4 linked regions of the Oryzias latipes genome follow. Each later gene encodes a partner of the first gene's protein in a complex. Links are inferred from orthologs where the notes say so. Each region holds a gene or a part of one and is shown on either strand. Other genes may lie near its edges.

What was found. The genes of interacting proteins can lie anywhere in the genome.
Region 2: gtf2h4 (region 1) and gtf2e2 share a complex: the UniProt entries of both Homo sapiens proteins name them as parts of the TBP-based Pol II pre-initiation complex. The link is inferred for Oryzias latipes from reciprocal best matches to the Homo sapiens genes GTF2H4 and GTF2E2.
Region 3: gtf2h4 (region 1) and gtf2a1 share a complex: the UniProt entries of both Homo sapiens proteins name them as parts of the TBP-based Pol II pre-initiation complex. The link is inferred for Oryzias latipes from reciprocal best matches to the Homo sapiens genes GTF2H4 and GTF2A1.
Region 4: gtf2h4 (region 1) and polr2l share a complex: the UniProt entries of both Homo sapiens proteins name them as parts of the TBP-based Pol II pre-initiation complex. The link is inferred for Oryzias latipes from reciprocal best matches to the Homo sapiens genes GTF2H4 and POLR2L.

The regions. Positions count from the first base shown.
Region 1 is NC_019869.2:21,552,103-21,557,050, forward strand, and holds the start of gtf2h4 (general transcription factor IIH subunit 4), read left to right. Parts: upstream 1-1,567; 5' UTR 1,568-1,924; intron 1,925-2,042; 5' UTR 2,043-2,087; intron 2,088-2,869; 5' UTR 2,870-2,871; coding exon 2,872-2,987; intron 2,988-4,122; coding exon 4,123-4,227; intron 4,228-4,948. UniProt on the Homo sapiens protein: Component of the general transcription and DNA repair factor IIH (TFIIH) core complex, which is involved in general and transcription-coupled nucleotide excision repair (NER) of damaged DNA and, when complexed to CAK, in RNA transcription by RNA polymerase II.
Region 2 is NC_019859.2:11,936,535-11,941,395, forward strand, and holds the start of gtf2e2 (transcription initiation factor IIE subunit beta), read left to right. Parts: upstream 1-1,879; 5' UTR 1,880-2,101; intron 2,102-2,790; 5' UTR 2,791-2,795; coding exon 2,796-2,955; intron 2,956-3,749; exon of another isoform or gene 3,750-4,400; coding exon of another isoform or gene 4,401-4,712; exon of another isoform or gene 4,713-4,721; intron 4,722-4,861. Other genes in the region: smim18 (small integral membrane protein 18), read right to left, coding at 4,401-4,712. UniProt on the Homo sapiens protein: Recruits TFIIH to the initiation complex and stimulates the RNA polymerase II C-terminal domain kinase and DNA-dependent ATPase activities of TFIIH. Both TFIIH and TFIIE are required for promoter clearance by RNA polymerase.
Region 3 is NC_019882.2:4,170,851-4,175,920, reverse strand, and holds the start of gtf2a1 (transcription initiation factor IIA subunit 1), read left to right. Parts: upstream 1-2,088; 5' UTR 2,089-2,297; coding exon 2,298-2,327; exon of another isoform or gene 2,328-2,364; coding exon of another isoform or gene 2,365-2,370; intron 2,371-3,606; coding exon 3,607-3,708; intron 3,709-3,818; coding exon 3,819-3,987; intron 3,988-4,078; coding exon 4,079-4,143; intron 4,144-4,564; coding exon 4,565-4,640; intron 4,641-4,716; coding exon 4,717-4,838; intron 4,839-4,932; coding exon 4,933-5,037; intron 5,038-5,070. UniProt on the Homo sapiens protein: TFIIA is a component of the transcription machinery of RNA polymerase II and plays an important role in transcriptional activation. TFIIA in a complex with TBP mediates transcriptional activity.
Region 4 is NC_019861.2:18,860,571-18,864,421, forward strand, and holds polr2l (DNA-directed RNA polymerases I, II, and III subunit RPABC5), read right to left. Parts: upstream 1,910-3,851; 5' UTR 1,778-1,909; intron 1,337-1,777; exon of another isoform or gene 1,319-1,336; 5' UTR 1,310-1,318; coding exon 1,215-1,309; intron 934-1,214; coding exon 822-933; 3' UTR 683-821; downstream 1-682. UniProt on the Homo sapiens protein: DNA-dependent RNA polymerase catalyzes the transcription of DNA into RNA using the four ribonucleoside triphosphates as substrates.

The DNA.
Region 1 (4,948 bases):
AGTGATGAGCTGTTTCTGTTTGTTAAACTGAACTTGTGCATGTTCTGGTGCACGTGTTGGTCCTCTCCACCTTTGTCACACATGACACTGGTCAGTTCATCGGGACTCTACAAGAAAAAAAACAGGAATCGATGTCTCAGATTTAAACTGCAGCCACGGAGGCTCAGGACAATCAGGTATACATTTTACACAAGTCAACTAAAGTGAAGGAGCAGGACAGCAACTCAGCAAACTAACCAGAAACAATAAAACTGTATCAGCTGTTTATATTTATTTTTCCTGAAGCATACCCTGATTCTCAACTGGACAGCTGTTAGTACTTGCGCGCATTTTCTCAGAAAATGATCTCTTTATAGTTTGATTAATTTCTTTAAAACTCTTGTCAAAGACCAGAAAACTGTCATCCTATGTTTTTATAAAGTATTCTACCAAATTTGAACTGTTGTATCCAGTAAGGCTTCAACTTACATCTCACATGGCTGTTAAATTGTTCTTTAAATGATAAAGAACGCTCTTGGTATCTGACATGTTCTTTTTGTTGATTTATTGAAGCAGAATGGTAAACGGCGTATACTTATTTAGCCCCTTAACTATCTTCTTGGAGCATTTTACAGTCACAGTTCCATTCACCCATGAACACACACACTGATTGTGGCTCAGCTACCAAACCATGTTGCCAACCTATAACCCCCAGAAGCAAGGTGGGGTTCAGTGTCTTAACCTTGGACACATGGGCGGGTAGGGTGGGAATTAAACCTGCAACCTCTTGATCAGGGGTTGACCGCTCTACTTCTGCACCACAACTGCCCTGTTAAGTTGCCAGCAGCATTTAGAAAAAAACAGTTCAACCTCCTTGGTCTAGTTTGGTCCTCCTGGGCCTCAGTAGCTCTCCATCATACCTATACCCCCCCCCCCCCCCCAATCTCTCTCTAAAGCCTTTTTAATAACTGCCCCCCTCATCTATTATCCACAGGAGATGCACAAGCAGGCAAGCTATTTGGCATAAAAGTAAACTCTTACAAAAACTCTTCATCTGCAGTGATGCCATAGAGGTAAATGACCTTTGAGTGACCTTTTGAGTCAACATGAATGCTAAGGTGATAGGCCATAGTAACAATTGTATTTTGTTGACTGATCCGGCTAAAAAAAAAAGTGTGTTGATGTCCAAAAACCAAGTTTATTTAACCCCCGCCAATATCATTGAGATTTTTTTTATTTAATTCTGGTCCAGCCCAGGCTTTCAAGCAGTTTTACACAGTTTAAGTCCTGGCTTGTGGGAGACTTAACTTTGGAAAAGAAACAAGTTTGTTTTTTTTTCTTTACATTTTTTATCTGTTTTAAATGATTCTGAGATCATACAAAAAAGCCACAAAGCTGAAGGGTGAAAGCCCCATGTGTTTGAATATGCATGATGTGATTCTTTAGGTTTTAAAAAAGGCTTAGTGACCTCGGCTAGGTAAGAAAGTAGCCTTGAGAGAGTAAACGTTTGGTGGCGCTGTAGAGGCATCTGTGGAGCTGGGTCAAAATCTTTTAAAAATGTATATTTTTTATCAGAGAACATGACTTGTGCAGGTTTTTTGCTATATCTTGTACATGTTGCACTGAAAAAAAACAAAAGATAATTTTCACACCAGCACCAATGAAATAAGCAAACCAAAAAGGTGATCAAATTGTAATTTCAGGTAGGAGAAGAGATATAGTTTACTATTGTGAATTATTTTTTCTAAGATAGTAAAATTTGCAACTTCCGTTTCAAAGGATGGAAATAAACTGAGCAGAAACGCACTGCTGCTACAAACCACCAGAGGGCGCACTATAGCTGCCTTACCAACAAATAAAAAAGATTTAGACCAATGAAAGCTCGCTTTGTTGTTACGTCACAACAACATGGCTGTCGACTAGCATCCGAGTTTGCTTCACTGATGTTGTAATGAATCTTAGTTTATTGTGACTTTGTTTTGAGATCCAGCAGCTCCCCACAGGTTCGGTCCGCGTGCCTGAGTTCTGTTTTATGTTTCCTTTGATCTTTTTTGCTTCCTCAGAATCGGCGAAGATTCAGAACCTGCTGTGATAAGATCAGAACCGGAGTAAGTAACTGGATTCAAACACAACAGGATCAGACTGAAATGTTGTTACTTTGCAATAATAATAACAATAATAATAATAACAAAACAATCGTATTAGTAATTTGTAATAATAAACAACAGTACATTACTTCTAAGTGGAGTATTTATTTTGGCACCAATTAAATGCCTCAAATTCTGACATACTGGATTGTTAACTTTGATGTTTTAAATGCCCCCCACGAGCTTGGGTGCAATTGATTAAATAAGGTATTAAAAACCTTATTTTAAATGTTTTTGTTGTTCATTTTTTCTGTATTTTATAGCAAGCAAGAGCAGAATATAAATGATAATGTAGGAGGAACGATACAAGATGATCACCTTTTCTCCAATATCTGCAGTGGGTTTTTATGAGATATCATAAAATCAAGATAATTTACAGACAATTAAGGCCTAGTCTGTTAGAATCTGTATGTTCCCTTAAGAGAACACACAATATCTCCACATTTGACTAAAGGTTTTGCATTTCTGTTATAGTTTGACACAAAAAAGCAATTCAACATCTTTATATTTTCTTATGTGTCTGAGGAACATTTTGGGCACATAATCAAATCTGAGGAGTTATCGTCCTGTGTCTGACAGAACTATTCAGTCTGCCAGAATGTAACTGTTTGAATGTCTCATGTGGTACAAGTATTTCACAGAACAACAAACTTGGCAAAACCTAATTTGCATATCTGTCCGTCTATCTGGTGACATGCCAATCAAATGATCCATCCGTCTGTGGTCTTGGTGTCTTGTTGCAGGGATGAAGCTGCGTGTCCAGCTGCAGTGCAAAAACCTGCACGAGTACCTGAGAGAGCTGGGCCCGGACGTCCTGGACCGCCTTTACAATCACCCAGCTACCTGCCTGGCTGTGTGCAGGTACCAGCTCCATATCCAAAAGACGGCGTCTCTCTTGAGCACATTAAAATTCCTGCTGGAATGCATGATATTTCTAAACATTTCGGACTACCTCCTGTTTGCAGTTTGTAGCGCTATGCCTGATAAGGCTAGAAGATGCATAAAAAGAGAATAAAAGTTACCTACCACATCTGTATTTTATAAACATAAGTTTCAAATCCACCAAATGCCAAGATTGAACTTTACATTCTCATAAAAAAGCAATACCTAACCTCCTTGACATTTTACTTTTATTATAAAATTTTACATTATATATAATCAGGGCTCTAGATTACCACCTGCCCAGAAAACCAATTTGACTAACCACTTAAAAAGGTGAGGCATTGTTCTGCATCTCTGACAGGGTGGGTCAAAGTCACAACTATGACTTTTAAGTCTCTGCCTCACTCCACACTTAGCTTCAACAAACACCCATCTCAAATTGGTTCAAACATTTAATTCTGACTTTTTTTGCGCAGAGTTAAGTCACATGAGCCGCAACACAAATGACCATGACTAGAAATAAACATTAGAAATTTGGTGCTTTAAAGAAAGGAATGTGTTTATAAAAAGGTTCAGAGATCAGAAGTGTCTTTTGTTAAGATTCAGATTCAGATTCAGAGGGATTTTTATTGCCATGTCAGTGAACGGAACACAACAGTTTCACAGACTAGGAATTTGCTGCAGTGCCAATGTGTCACATACAACACTTAAGAATAATAATAAAATAAACAGTAATGAGCCAAAAACATAGACACAGTGATCAGAACAAGTAAAAAGAAATACAATAGTGCAACAGAGGTGCATTACATTTCGGTATATTATACAACCTGACATAAGAATACACTTTTAATTAGTGTTTTCAAGAGAAAATTATCATCAACTGAAACTTTATAAAAAATGGAATAAATGTGTTTCTTTCAAATACATAACTTATTTTTCCAGAGAAATGTTTGGCTAGTAGAAATCTAACTTGGCTGGTAGACTAGTTACTGGGGACCCCATCTAGTAACCAAAAAAGGTCATTTAGGGCCATGATATATAATAAAATTAAGGATAGTCTGAATATTTACCACAGGGTGATCTCATCTGCTTTGTGTTGGCCCTTTCTCTGCAGAGAGCTCCCCTTGCTGGCTAAGAACTATGTGATGCGGATGCTGTTTTTGGAGCAGCCCCTCCCTCAAGCAGCTGTCGCCCTGTGGGTGAGGAAGGATGGACAGAGGTGAGGCTCCCATGTTCTCCCTGATCTACAATTTTGAACGGTCAGGAGCACAAAAGCTGCTTTTAGGAAGCTGCTGTTGCAGCGCCTCCTGCTGGCGCTTTAAGTGCTCAGCAGCCATCACTGCTGTGGTTCAACGAGAGCAAACTGAGCAAACCGACAGAACCAGGGGGATATTCCAGGAAGCATGTTTAAACTAGCCAGACTTTAAGCCTGAACTCTGGCTGAAATCCGCCTAAACTTGCTTACTCTGGGTATGTCGGTTCCAAAAGACCGGATATGAGTAAGTGTAATTACGCTCGACTTGGTAACCCTGGGTTAATGCTCGTGCACAGGAGGTACATAAAGACATTCTCAATAGATGGCCGATTTCTGGAGTCACCATGGAAACGCGTGGAGAAAAAAAAAGCGGTACACTTGAGACGGAAGTGAGACGGAGTCTGAGATTTTAATGACGGCGGATAGAAATTATAAGTCCATCAAAAAAGTAACACGGCTGCATCAGCAAAAAAAAGAGTTTCTGCTTGGAGAAAAATAACAAAGTTTCTGATCTTGTTTCCATTTTCCTTGTGACGCATATTTATATATAATCTTAAATAAATTTCTTCTATTAGTAACAAATAAATTAGTTAAATGTATTCAACCTAATTTCTTGCGTCTATAAAACTCAATAATTGTTTATACAACTCAATTTTTACGTATTCATCTAGCTAAATATCACATT
Region 2 (4,861 bases), on another chromosome or scaffold:
TTTGGGATTTATGAAATTCAGGGAACTTAGAGTCAAAAAAGCGGCTGGATGGCTGAATGCAGGACTGGTTTGTGGAAAACCAGGGTTCATTTCCCAGGGGGCACGATGAGCTGAATCCAGTGTGGGTCCTTAGGTAAAACCCTACGCGGTAAGTCCCCCTGTGCCGGGTCCCAAGCCCGGATGAAATACAGGCTTGTGTCAGGAAGGTCATCCGGCGTTAAAAAAAATCTCTGCCGAACCACCTGTGCAAATCAGTGAAAGCTAATTCGCCGTGGCCACCCCCTGAAGGGAAACGCCGAAAGGTGAACAACAAGGGAACTTGAGGTCAAATAAGGAGAATCAGTTACAGAGTATGAAACCACAAACATGAGAACTTTTAAACCAGTTTAAATGTAATCTTCATGTTTTTCTTTCCTTTTTTACGCCTATTTATACTTTATCCTTGTTTGCTTTGTCCTTTCAAATGAGAGAATAAGACACTGAAGCCAAATTCCTTGTATATGCCCTCATTATTCGCTAATAAAATTGATTACTAGTCAGAGAAAAAAAAGGGAAAGTAAAATTATTTTTAGTATTATTTCTGTTTACAGTTTGGGGTTTGTTACCTCCAAACTGTCACTGTGTCAGAGTTACACTGCATTACATGACTTTATTACTTATAAAGTAATAATAAAGGGAAAGTAAAATTATTTTTAGTATTATTTCTGTTTACAGTTTGGGGTTTGTTACCTCCAAACTGTCACTGTGTCAGAGTTACACTGCGTTACATAACTTTATTACTTATAAAGTTATGACTCGTAATCAATTATTACTTATAGCGTTCTTTGTAAGACCTACAGAAGTAGAGGAAGTGACAAGGTACTGTCAAGCATTTCACTCTAAGACAAATGGCGATAAGCTTTAATAATCATTAAGTGAAAGTACAGGAAGCAGAATCACAGCTTTTTGTTGTTAAAATAAAACTATGAGTCATCTACCTAAATGGATAACAGAGTGACAGGAGAACCGTAGGGGTCTGTTTACCTCAGGAAAAGTGGAGCTGTCTATTAAATAATGATTCCAATCACCACACTTTGTCAAAAATAACTGATCAGATACATTTTTTTCTTCAAGAAAAAAAAAAAAAAAAAGATAAACACATTTGTTCAAGAAATCAAAAGTTAAATTATTGTTTCTAAGCTAAAAGTGATGAACCATGAGTTTATAAAGATATTTTTAGCAGAGTTTTTTTGTTCATGTGTTCTCGTCTCATTACTAAGTATGTAATGACTTTAATGTCATAGTAATGCTTTACACCCCTTTAGAACTGCAAAAGGTATGCTATCGTAATGTATTTTGTAACTACGTGCTGTAGGCTCCTCTACAGTAAAAAGAAAAAAAAAGGCTTTAAATTAAAAATATTATTCAAAAATAAATCCTGGAACTTTATTAACATTTCACTTAAGTGTTTCATCTTTTAACAAGAAATGAGATTAAACTTTATTGGTCAAAGCACAAAATTTGGCAAAGAAAACTTGTAAAGATTATGTTTATAATCGAAATGGCAATCACACCACAATGCAAAACAGAACATATTACAGTCAGGTGTTGGAAATAATACTTTTAATGTCTTATTACAAACTGTTGGTTATAATAATATCCAATAATTTTCAGTTTAAAAACTGAAAATGTTGGGGGAGAAACATTTGCTGAAACTATTTAATTGTTTTTAAACGTTCCGGCAAGAATTAAAAACTGTGAAACAGAACACTCATTATTTTAGCTATAGTTTCAGAATCCCTAACCAAAATAGCTCTCTTGCCTGAAATAAGTTGACTGTCCTCCAGTCCAGTAGGTGGCGATGTTGAGCTACACAGCTGCGGGTTTTTGCTTGCACGCGGAAGACGTCACCCAAGGAATAACATACGATAACGATAACCGACAACTCGAACACTAAACGAAACAGTTACATGATGGATACAAAAATAATACTTTTTTATTAGAAAGTAAGCTTGAGTTTACTTAAGCTTAAAATTGTCTTTCTATTTCACTTTTTAGTTTATAAATTAGTCTATCGGGACTTATTCGCCACTTTCTGGAAAGAAGAACTCAACAGTAGCAGGTAACGTTGACATGCTAACACTAGGATTAGCATCACATTAGGTGTTAGACAATGCGGGAACATTAATTAGCGGTTATGTGGGTCATGCTGTCACGGGATTCGGTTCTTTGGGGAAACTGGACTCTAAAGGTTCATCTCGATGACTTTTAGCTGCTTATATGAAGTTTTTTTTTTCCCGATAAACTGAAGAAGAAGCTAATCGGACAAACAGCGAACTTCTGTTATATATATGTTTAAATATGTTTTGAGTTGAGTTTTTAGTCCACTGTTTCTGTATTAAGTGTATTTCTTTGGTCACTGTTAATGTAGTAATTCCATGTCTTTGGCCCATATTGTCAGTAGAAGAACCGAACACAATTATTTTTGGCACAAATGGAACACCGTAGTTTTGAAGAACAGAATCCTGTCGTGTCAAGACAATGTTTTAACATCAAATCTAGTTACTAATAATAATCCTTATGCTCTACTTAATATTTGAAGAAAAAATAGTAAAACAGCTGCATCACTGATTAGATTGAGAAAAGAACCAGGTAAACATACCAGGTATAATAGATATGCATGGAGATGATGCACCTCACTGTTTCAGTATTATATTTATTTCATAAATTATATTTAATTTAAACGTTTGAAGCTTAGTAAAACTGCATTTTATCCAGCCTTTTCTGTGTTTACATGCTTTTGTCCACCAGCCTGGATGGATCCAGCTCTGCTTCGCGAGAGGGAGCTGTTTAAGAAAAGAGCTCTCTCCACGCCGGCTGTTGAGAAGAGACCAGCTGCATCAGACTCTGGATCCCACAAGAAGAAGAAGCCCAAGTTAGACAAGGAAGGCTCCTCTGGCTCCAAACACAGCACTGGTAGGTCATGCTTTATATCTGGTTACTGAGCTTCTCCTGGACGTGCCACAAGCTGCTCCGCTCCATTCTGATAAACCCACTTGCAGACAAATGGATCCATGTACGTCTTTGTTTTCCTCGCCTGGGCTGCCATCTGGCGTAAACCTTAAGTTTGCTCACCAATGTTGGGTTGGGTGTGTGAGAGGCTGTAAGCTTATGAGAGAGGATATGCAGAGAGCTCAGTAATGGATGACTGGAAGGGGGGGTAGGGTTGCTCCTTACAGCGCCGCTGGTCCCACTCGCAACTCAGGTGAAATTCCAATGAACTACTGCCACCCTGCAGAAACTATGTCCTAGAAAAACGACCCAGATTTTTTTAATTTTTAGCTAAAAATGACCTTCTCCTAAGTAAAAGACCAATGGAAACGCTTTCACAATAGATCAAAATATGATCGGAGGGGGTCTTTGAGTGAAACTGGCAGATTATTTTTAAGGATTATGTTTTCTTTCTTTTGTTTGGTTTAAATGTTGTTGTTTTTTAATGGATGGATGATGTAACACCTAGGCAATCAAAACTCATTCATCTGTCACTCATAGGTTATTCTGAGTCAAATATTTGAATAATTACGAAAAGCAAAGTGGTCAAAATTCTGCTGTCATTGCTTTTTTTTAAAGGTGTGCACAGATCAAAAAATGACTTCTAACATTTTTATAGTAAATATAAATAAAGCCTAAAAGAATTCTTTGGATGAAAGGACTGATTCATAAGAATCATGAAATATAGAGAAAGAAAATTCAAACTCTTTAACCAAACTTTTTGTTAGATCTCATTTTTATTGATTTTCTTTAGTCTTTTTATGTTTGTCTTCATGAAAATGCCAACATACCACATTGACCAACAGCCGTCCAACGCTAGATTTTATCACTTCATTTAGTTGCTTTTGGAAAATAAACGTCTTCATCTGTTAAAAAAGTTTCAGAAATGTCAGATTTTCCACCTGGTAACATGAGAGTGGCAGCTGATTTCTATACATCCACTACAAACAATTACAACTTTCGGCTCGCCTTAACATCCATTTAAATGAATCATGTTTATTTATAACAATTCTTTTTTATCATACCACAATGTTTTTAACCCAAAAGAAAAGATTTCCATCAACTTTTATCGGGTTTGTGGGAAGCCAAACGAAAACCTTTATTGTGTCTACAAATTCACGACTGTGTGTTTACCATAGAAGAACGGCAAAAAAACACAAAACTAAACAAAGATGACATGAGTCTTTAAAGCCCTAACTCGGCAAACGTTTCTGTGTACAGAATACTCTGGAACATTGATTCATTTTTTTCTTTGCCTCTGAATTGGATGCATGCAAATAGACAGTCTATGGTATCAGGGGTGCTTGTTTTGGCAATAAATTGGGCATCCCAACCCCAAACTCTTCCATTTTCCTTTGTCTGTGCTGCTGCTATACCACCTCCGTGTGGCTCTCCAGCTCCTTGCATGTTCTCGTCATGAGATTGCTGCAGCTTCCCGACCTTTCTTGCTGCAACTGGTGGCGCGTTTTCCCTTTGGCGCAGCAGCCGCAGTCCAGTAACTCGTAGAGAACGGCCAGAGCGGCCAGGGACAGAACGGTGAGGATGAAGAGCAGGAGGATGACGAAGCAGGCGACGTTCCAACCGTCGTGGAAGGGGTAGACTTCCTGTACCTGCAGGGAAACGTGGGACATGGGGATGGCCTCGGGGAGGGAGGGGGGTACGGTAGCTGTGGCGTTCGCCATGATCCGTGGCTAAAAAAAAAATGAAAGGAAAAAAAAAAAACATTAATGGTCTGTAGCAGTTTTTCAAAGCAGAAAAAAGGCTTTTGGAATAACTTTTATTTATGTTTTTAAAAAAGTGCTCGAGCAAGTGCCCAAAACAACTGATTTAA
Region 3 (5,070 bases), on another chromosome or scaffold:
AAATGCTCTGAAATTGCCATTTCTGAGAGGGTTTTTATTTTTGTTGTTGTTGTTGTTTTGCTCCTCTCCCTGACGAGATTACATTACTGCCGTTACGTTTAGAGACCTGCCTGAGCTGGATATCGGAAAGCCATAGGTTAGAGATGTCAAATTGCAAAGCTGTTATCGATCGGTGAGATGCCATGCAGAGTACACCCAGGTGTTCCTTTTTTTATTTAATTTTTTTTATTCTTGTTGTTTTTTCCCCCCATCCACCCGGTAAATGTTCAGTTTTTCTCCCCTTATTGTGCAATCACATTGCCAAAGAATGATTTCAAGACCTATTTCATCACTACATGTAAATATCAACGTTGTCTAATACCGTGGCAAAAAAATATATAAATGTTGTTTTATTTTGTTTTCCATTTTCTGAACAACTACAATGATGTTTATGTGATGTATTGTCTTCCAGTTGGTTGCAATAATAAAAAAAATACAAGTTGCAGAAAAGATTCTTGCCTGTTTCTTATTTGCTGGTTTTTCATGAAAATCCATCTAATTGAAGCACTTTCCTCTCAAAGTCTGAAGTTAAATATAGTTGAGGATTACTAGTAAGCATAAATCCCTCCCTTAGCAGCATCGTTTAAACTTGAAACGCCATTTACTGGCAGTGTTAGCTTTAATTCACTCTCAAACCTGACCTCAATCATTAACCCCGCACATTCTCATCAACAAGAGGTCTTATCATAACCATGCTTCCTCTCCCAGATAATTAGTCATTTACTTCGTCTAATCATTTAAGTTCAATACTTCTGATTAACTACCCCCCACCCCTTCAGGGAGGGACGTAAAAGAGTTAAGTGCACCAAAGAGTTCCTCAATGTCTTATCAGTCTGAGTGGTGCCATTTTGGAGCCGTGTGGCGGTGGAAGCCCATTCATAATTGAAGTAGAGACCGGCTTAATCTTGAGCCAGTGGCTCCCTGTGCAGCACGCTCCCATCACAACACAACTGGAGCTTGCAGCTCCTCTGTTGCTATGCAACTACAGCAAAGAAGGGGGAGTAGGGAGTGGGGGGGGGGGGGGGGGTAAAGTGTGCATTCTCCAGATCTTTAGAGGGCATCATGCTTCTCTAATGTTACACCGGAGTGAAGCTCAAAGACAGCAATGCCCTAGCCTGCATATATGATCACATCCCAAACATTCATAGCATGGATCACTCGCTTGCTTTTTGATCACGTTGAACTTTGCTTCCCCTGTAATTATAGAAGCATGAGAGGGTGATCTGCAGGGTCAGATCACCCTCTCTCTCTTTTTTTTACATCTTCTTTAGATAATTTCAGTAAACACAGTTTTCAGAAAACACTGAATTGTTTGTGGATTGATGCAAACAGTCTTCCCTAGTCTATATCATCTATATCCACAGAGTGGCCAGGGAAGCAAGTTTCCATGGAGACTGAAGTGGAGTTAACAATGTCTACACGAAATTATTGCAAAGCTTTTTTTTAAGGATTTTCCCTTTGGTTGTGTATTTTTGGATCAAGTGAATATGATCTTAAATACTTCTTCAAATGTGCACAGATCTTCTTAATTAAAGATCACATATAGCACGCTGCATGTGAAAAATATGCCCGTCTCAAAGCTCCAGTGAAACACAGGTTATTTTCATGTGATGTTGTCTTATCGCCCTCTTGTGGCTGTAGAACGATACTACAAGGAACATAGAAATAAATCGGGCTTTTGGATTCAGATTTGAACCTTTTCGTTATAAAATAAAAGTAATGAATACAACACAGAATTTACTATACAGGAAAAATCTCGATTTAGCTGAAAAAGTTAAATCAATTAAAACTTGTAACCCTCTATTTGTAAACATTCTCAACACAATACAAACTCACAAACAAAAACAATGTAATTGTAATCATGGTTAACAATTGGATAATTTGTCCAACAAATCTAAAAAGCTAAGTATCCAATCGCATTGTGAAATTTACAATTTAAACTACATTTCCCAGCACGACGTCAGTGATTAGTCATCGTTTTTTGTGGCAAATCTCGCGCTATGTGCCTTTTGACCCTGCCCTATGTCTCGCGCACTCGCAGCTCCATCGCTCAGTATATAAAGCAGGACAACGACGAAAGGAGGACGGCTGGGGAGTCGCAGCCCGGGATTGTAAATAAGACCGTTAAAACTGTGTTTTATTTACAAAAGTAATGCCGGCTGTTTTAAAGTACCTTTCCCAGTTGTTTTAAGTCTTTTTTCTTAATTTTTGGCACTGTTTCTCGCCTATTTCCGTGTGGTTTTTACACTACGCGTATAATGGCGAGCTCGGCAAACTCGAACCCAGTGGTAAGGATCAATCTCTCAGGACTGTCAACGGGGGAAAATGGGGGTAAAGTTGATGGAAAAACGTGTCAACGATCTGTTTTTTTTTTTAATTTATTTTTTTTATTCATTACAGTAAAAATGAGTTTTACCAACACCGTTATGTCCATTCAAAGGAATACTCACGGTCATTTTTTTTATACCAGTTTTCGAAACTCAATGAAAAAAGAGCTTATAGAACTGATTACTTTTGTAGGACCCGAATCTCTTTAAATATTTAAATTAAATGTGATCAAAAATAAATTTTAAAGTTAAAAGTTGCCTGTTTATACGGTATTAGTTGTTAACGTAAGTGCTTCCGAAAACCTTCTGGACATTTTTTTAAAGCTAAATTGAGTTGAAATCCGCATTGAATGCGTTAGCTAACTAGTTAAGTTAGGGGTGCTCATTTTTGTTTACACGGGGGAAAATGTCATACTTATTGTCGCATAACTGTTGGAGGGGAGGGAAACTGATGTACGCAAAGCACATATGCACCATCCACTGCGACTGAATTTAGCTAAAAAAATTTTATTAAAAGCTTGGCGTCTTGAACGCTCTGTCAACTGCTTCTTCTTCATTGTCCTCCATTCCACGACCAGAGGGCAGGAGAGCCGTCCCAAATCACCCTCAACGCAACAAATGTCCCGCTCCAGTCAAAAATGTTTAGTCAAAACGGATCCTTTCATGAGATAAACCACCGAAACCGTCATCTTCAGTCCGCCATATCTTGCTAGTCGAGGAGGGAAAAGAGGCGCGCGCGCGCTTGCCGCTCTGTAAAATGGCTTCCTCGTCTCCTCTCTCGGTTCTGGCCCTCCTCCTTTCTGCTGCCTGGTTTTATACCGCCATATTGGCCGTCTAATATAGACTGCCCGGGATGGGACGGTGCTACACGACGCTACGTCACCGGTTCTTCACATAAACAGCAGACTGCGCTTTAAATAGTGCCGGAGCTGACGGGGAGGAGAGCAGAGAGACGGACATTCGGTGTCCCGCTTCTCGTTCTGCGTAGAAGCCAGAATGTTGTCCGTGACAGTTCCCCGCGCGTGCAGCTCTGTCTCGAGGGACGCGTTTAGTCCTGCTGACAAATGGATCAGTGCAGATTATTATATATGGGTTTGGATAATCTATCCATATACACAAGATGTGACCGTTTAAACTTAACACCTCTTTTATGAGTGTTTTCCTACATTTATTGTAAACATTTATATATGTTGAAACCACCACCAATAAATTGTGTATTTGCTCTGTTTTGTCATCATAGCCTAAATTATACAAGTCTGTTATTGAGGATGTGATCAATGAGGTGCGGGAGCTGTTCCTGGATGAAGGGGTGGACGAGCAAGTTCTTCTGGAGCTGAAAACGGTAATCCGTCTCATTTTACTGAGAGAAGGTTATAACCCCCCCCCCTCACACACACACACACACATGCAGCTCCGTGTTTGGTCAGATTCATCTGGAGTCTTGTCTTTCAGCTGTGGGAGAACAAGCTGCTGCAGTCAAAGGCGGTGGAGGGCTTCCACACCGAGGAGCAGGCGGCCCTGCAGACCGCTCAGCAGCAGCACCCGCACTCCCAACAGGCCCAGCAGGTGGCCCAGGCCGCGCCGGCCCAGCAGGTTATCCAGATTCCCTCGCAGCAACAAGGCGAGTCCGCACGTTGACATACAAACGTCGCCTGGACGTGTGTTGTTTTTTTTTTTTTTCAACCTGAAATAATGTGTTTTATTCTCAACAGCTCCCCAGCAGCAGGTCATAGTTCAGGACTCTAAAATGATACAGCACATGAATTCAACGGGAATGGTGAGTAGCATCTTACAAGCTGAAAACTGCACCGCCACACTTGAGAACCAAAAATTCTCCCAAACGTCCCGTTTTGTCATCGCACAAATCCACCCGGGGAATATCTGGGATAGTATCAAGGAAGCGACGGTTAGGAAAACTAGCCGGGCTGTGGGTTTTGGGAGAGGACTTTTTTTCTCAACAAGGACCTGGAGAACAAAACCGAGAAAGGGAAAAGCTTTCTTGTGGGGAGGCCATCTGTCTTTTTGAGCTTGAAACCTAGCCGCCGCTATAGCTTTTCCTTAAGTGATGGACCATGTTTGAAACCTTTAAGGCTTAAATGAAAAGAAAAAAGAAGATTTTTTCTTTTTTTATCACCTAGAAAATCCACCTTTTTGTGCTCTGGTATAATTGGAGCGGCTTTCTGTGTTTCCTCCTGCAGACCGCAGCAGCCACTGCAGCAACCCTTGCTTTGCCCACAGGGGTCACCCCCTACCAACAGCTCATCACAAGCCAAGGTAAAGCTCTCACCGTTCCTTTGGACTTTAGCGTGGTTGGATCTCAAAACGTTTTTTTGTTTTCCTGTTGATGCAGGTCAGCTCCTGCAGGTGGTCCGGGCTCCCAACGGGACTCAGTACATCATCCAGCCTCAGCAGCAGATCGTCCTGCAGAATCAGATGCAGCCTGGCGGCGTGCAGGCCCCCATTATACAGCAGGTACAGTCCATGTGTGAGGTCATCCTTTTGAGCATGAAACCAGTCTGGGAATTGATTTCTGAAAACTTGGAGTCCTTTTCTTGCAAACGTGCAGGTTTTAGCTCCTCTGCAGGGTGGACTGCCCCAGCAAGCAGGAGTCATCATTCAGCCGCAGCAGATCGTTTTGGCTCCAGGGAATAAAGTTCAAGGGACCACACAGGTCAGAGCACCAATTAATGTTTTCCCAATTATT
Region 4 (3,851 bases), on another chromosome or scaffold:
TGCTGTTTGAAATGGCTTTATTTATCACAACTGAATCTTAGTTACACATCTCAACAGCAGTTGTGCTGTGTGATTGTTAAAAAAAATCTGTAATTTGCTTTGGACCAATTTAAAACTTGAAAGGGCATTATGAGAGTTTGCTTTTTCCAAATGCTCTATTATAAATAAATTGTTGTAAACATTTTAATTGTTGGTAACAAAGTGGCATTGTAATTTGCTGAAAACCTTCTGCACATTCACTATAACTCTTCAAGAGTTAAAGTTCCAACCGCCATGACGATGTTTTGTTCTTGCTTCCCCAGATTGGAGGCAGAGGAGCATTGTTGCGTCGAGTTGTATATAAAAGAATCAAGGATTGTTTGTTCAATCTGAGAACACGGTTTTGTTCTTCCTTTATATAATAGGACTTGTTTTAACAAAAATTGGCTGTAGATTTTTTCTTGTAAAATAAGACTTTGTTTGCATGCACCATAACAATTCTTTCTGTAATCATTGTAATTTCACATTTCTTTTGGTAGAAAATCTACAATTAAAAAAAATCCCAAAGTATTCTCGTCTTATGTGCTCTGCTGTTGAATAGTATAACATTATTTGTTTGCATGTTTTCATAAGTACATAAAGTGAAAGGTTGAGCGATTTAACTCAACGCCTCAAAAATTAGATGGCATCTCAACTCAGTGAATCGAATACTTTAAAGAAAAAACTTTATTTAAATAAAATTTTCATTGCCACATATGTGCACAATACACCAAGTCATTATTGTTGACATTTCTTAAACACTGAATATATGCACAGGCCATGTTCAAAGCATGTTCTTCCAGCTAAAATTTTTCCAGCGGTGCATAATTTAACAATTTCTCAATAAGATCCACATGGGAAAGCAGCATCCTCCGACAGCAGTACCTCTTCAGGCCCAGGGCATCAAGAGCATCACTAGAAAAGGGAAGATGGAAAAGTAATTTTAGTGCCAGATATTGCTTGCATAATTACAGAAAAAAAAAAAAAAAACATTTCTATAGTTAGTTTTAAATGTTGTATCCTCAAATGGTCTGAATTCAAACTAACATCTTGACTGACAGTGAAACAGGAGGAGTAGAGGTTGAATGAAGGCCTTTATTTAGTTTCAGAAAACTTGACCATATAGCATTACGGTGACACATTGTTGAACGAACGAAACATGAAGGTAAAATGAAAATGAAGCGCATCTGTCTCACCCTTCAGTGTATTCGGCCTGAAGAAGACCAAGGTAGGCTTCCCATTTGTTCCCCACGATCTTCCCACAAGTGAAACACCTCACCGGGATAATCATTTCTGGATGCTTGAAGAAGGAGCCAAACTAAGATATTCAATCCACAATAAATAATATAATCAACAATCAAATCAATAATAAAAAAAAATTAAATAAACAAAAACATGCCAATATGAATATGGTCATATCTGAGAAAGGGTAATTATGTTACACATGTTCCTACAACATAATTCCGCTTATGATGCTAGCAAATACTTCTAAAGGAAGGTACCAACACGTTGTTTAGGAACGTCGTAACTAAAATGAACGCAAATATCTTGCGCTACAATTTCTGTAAACGATATAATATAATTAAGTAACTTGTGTTTAAATTACTGAGATTTAAAAAACAAAAAGAAAGGCCAACGCTAGCCGCGTACATGCAGCTAGCCTAGCAGCACGCCGTCGTTCACATGCTTCCCAAACTCGGGTACAAATGAAATAAAAATATTAGTAACATTACGTTAAAAAAGGAAGTTGTTAACTCACCTTTATTGGTCAAGTTTGTCCAACACTTAAACAGCGTTATTTGTAATAATAGTAGAGACAAAGTTTAACCGTTGACGATATAAACATCACAGCTCAAATAACCATTTCCGGTGTAATACAGAGCTTCCGGATGTGATCCTACAAAATAAAACTAATTTAAATAAACCACTAAATTTAGGTAAACAATGCTGTTGAGTTTAACTGCTGTGTGTTCATTTTCTGTATGTAAAACACAACTTTAGGATTTAACAAAAAAATTATTTTATCGCGTAAAAGTATTTGTTACAAAAACTGACGCGTACGATTTGCATTTTTACTATATATATATATATATATATATATATATATATATATATATATATATATATATATATATATATATATATATATTTTTTTTTTTTTAAAGAAGGTAGCACATTGTCTAAATACAACCTGCATCGGCCCTCAAATATTGAGAAATCTGTTCCTCAAACCAAAATAAAATCACATCTCTCTGGGTGGGTCTGTAATAATACCAGTTAATCCCAGACGACATATGTGTCCAATGATTAAATGCTTTAATTTAAATCACCTACACATTCATGTTCTATGATAAGGAAACAACTACATTTATATGGTATATGTATTCACCAACATTTGTCTATATGCAAATATTACTTTTTGTTATTTGAGGATTTCTCTGCAATAATTTAGAAAACATTCTAATGTTGCCACAGTCATGTGAGTAAAATAAAATAAAAAATCCTTATTTGGGAATTGGCATAAAATGCAAATCCCAAAAAAATCCTCTTTTTCTAATCTTGACTGTAGATCTACAGCTTTCATTTTCAAGTTTAAATATTTTCATTTGGATAGCTTATTAGCCAATACTTTCTGTGAAACTGTTGCTGTTTATTAACTAATCTTTAACTGTCTTTCCTTATTTTCATTTGCAGAAAAAAAAAGTTGTGAACATAAATCAAATGTAAATCTGATCTAAGCCTTAGTCTCATCTAGATTTCTCAACATACCAGTATTCAAAAGTACCGGTACCCAATTCCTTTTTTATATTTGTTGGCAGTCCATGTTAAAACTCTCTTGAACTTACAAGATTCATTCATTCATTCATTTTCTTAACCGTTTTTCCCTTTCGGGGTCACGGGGCTGCCGGAGCCTATCTCGACCACTTGTGGACAGGTCGCCAGTCTGTCACAGGGTAGAACTTACAAGATCATAAATTTAACTGAAACTCACATTTCTACTAATATAATTGCTTTGATAATTCTTGTGCATTTAAAAAAATAATTCAGACTGGTTCACTTCTTTTATTGAGGCTGAAGTTTAAACTCTTCCTTTTTTACATTTAGACATTTGGGGACAAAAGCCGGGCTGCATTATGAAAATCAGTTAAAATATAGAATAATAAAATATCCTTCGTATCATTCTAACAGACACAATGATAACTATCATCATCATTGGCATCATGTATTGTCACCAACATCGCCATCGTCAACACCAAACATTATTACATCATCTATGCAATTTAACTTGCTACAGCACATGTGCTAAATGAATAGTCCTACCTGAATTATTGCATTTATACGCTGTTAAAATTATGAAAATAAGAATTTTTCCTTTTCTTTTTTTGGTACACTATATTGTACAATGTAAGGTGAAATTTACTTTGGTGCTACTATCTTCTTGGACATGGTAGGGGTTGGAAGGGGTGGCTGTGGTGAGTGTTTTATGATAATTTTCTGTCAGAACTGAGCGCAATATCGAAGTTCCTCTACAACTTAAATTATGTGTGTGTTTGTTACCACTGCCTTCCTTCTTCCTGTTTTCATGAAAGCAGAAACTCAAATTTTATAATTCAAGCTAAACAGACATGCTTGTGGAGCTGTACAGGTGATATTTCGGGCAATAAGACTGCATGGGATAGACAACCAGTAGACATGTTTTGGCAACTTGATACTGCAACACTAATGGCTCTTAAGCAACAATGTAAACAGACAGATCTGAGATGGCTGATTGTATTTTGCATGGCATGAAATGTTAATGATTCCTCTTAGCATTTTACAGTAGAGCTTTTCAT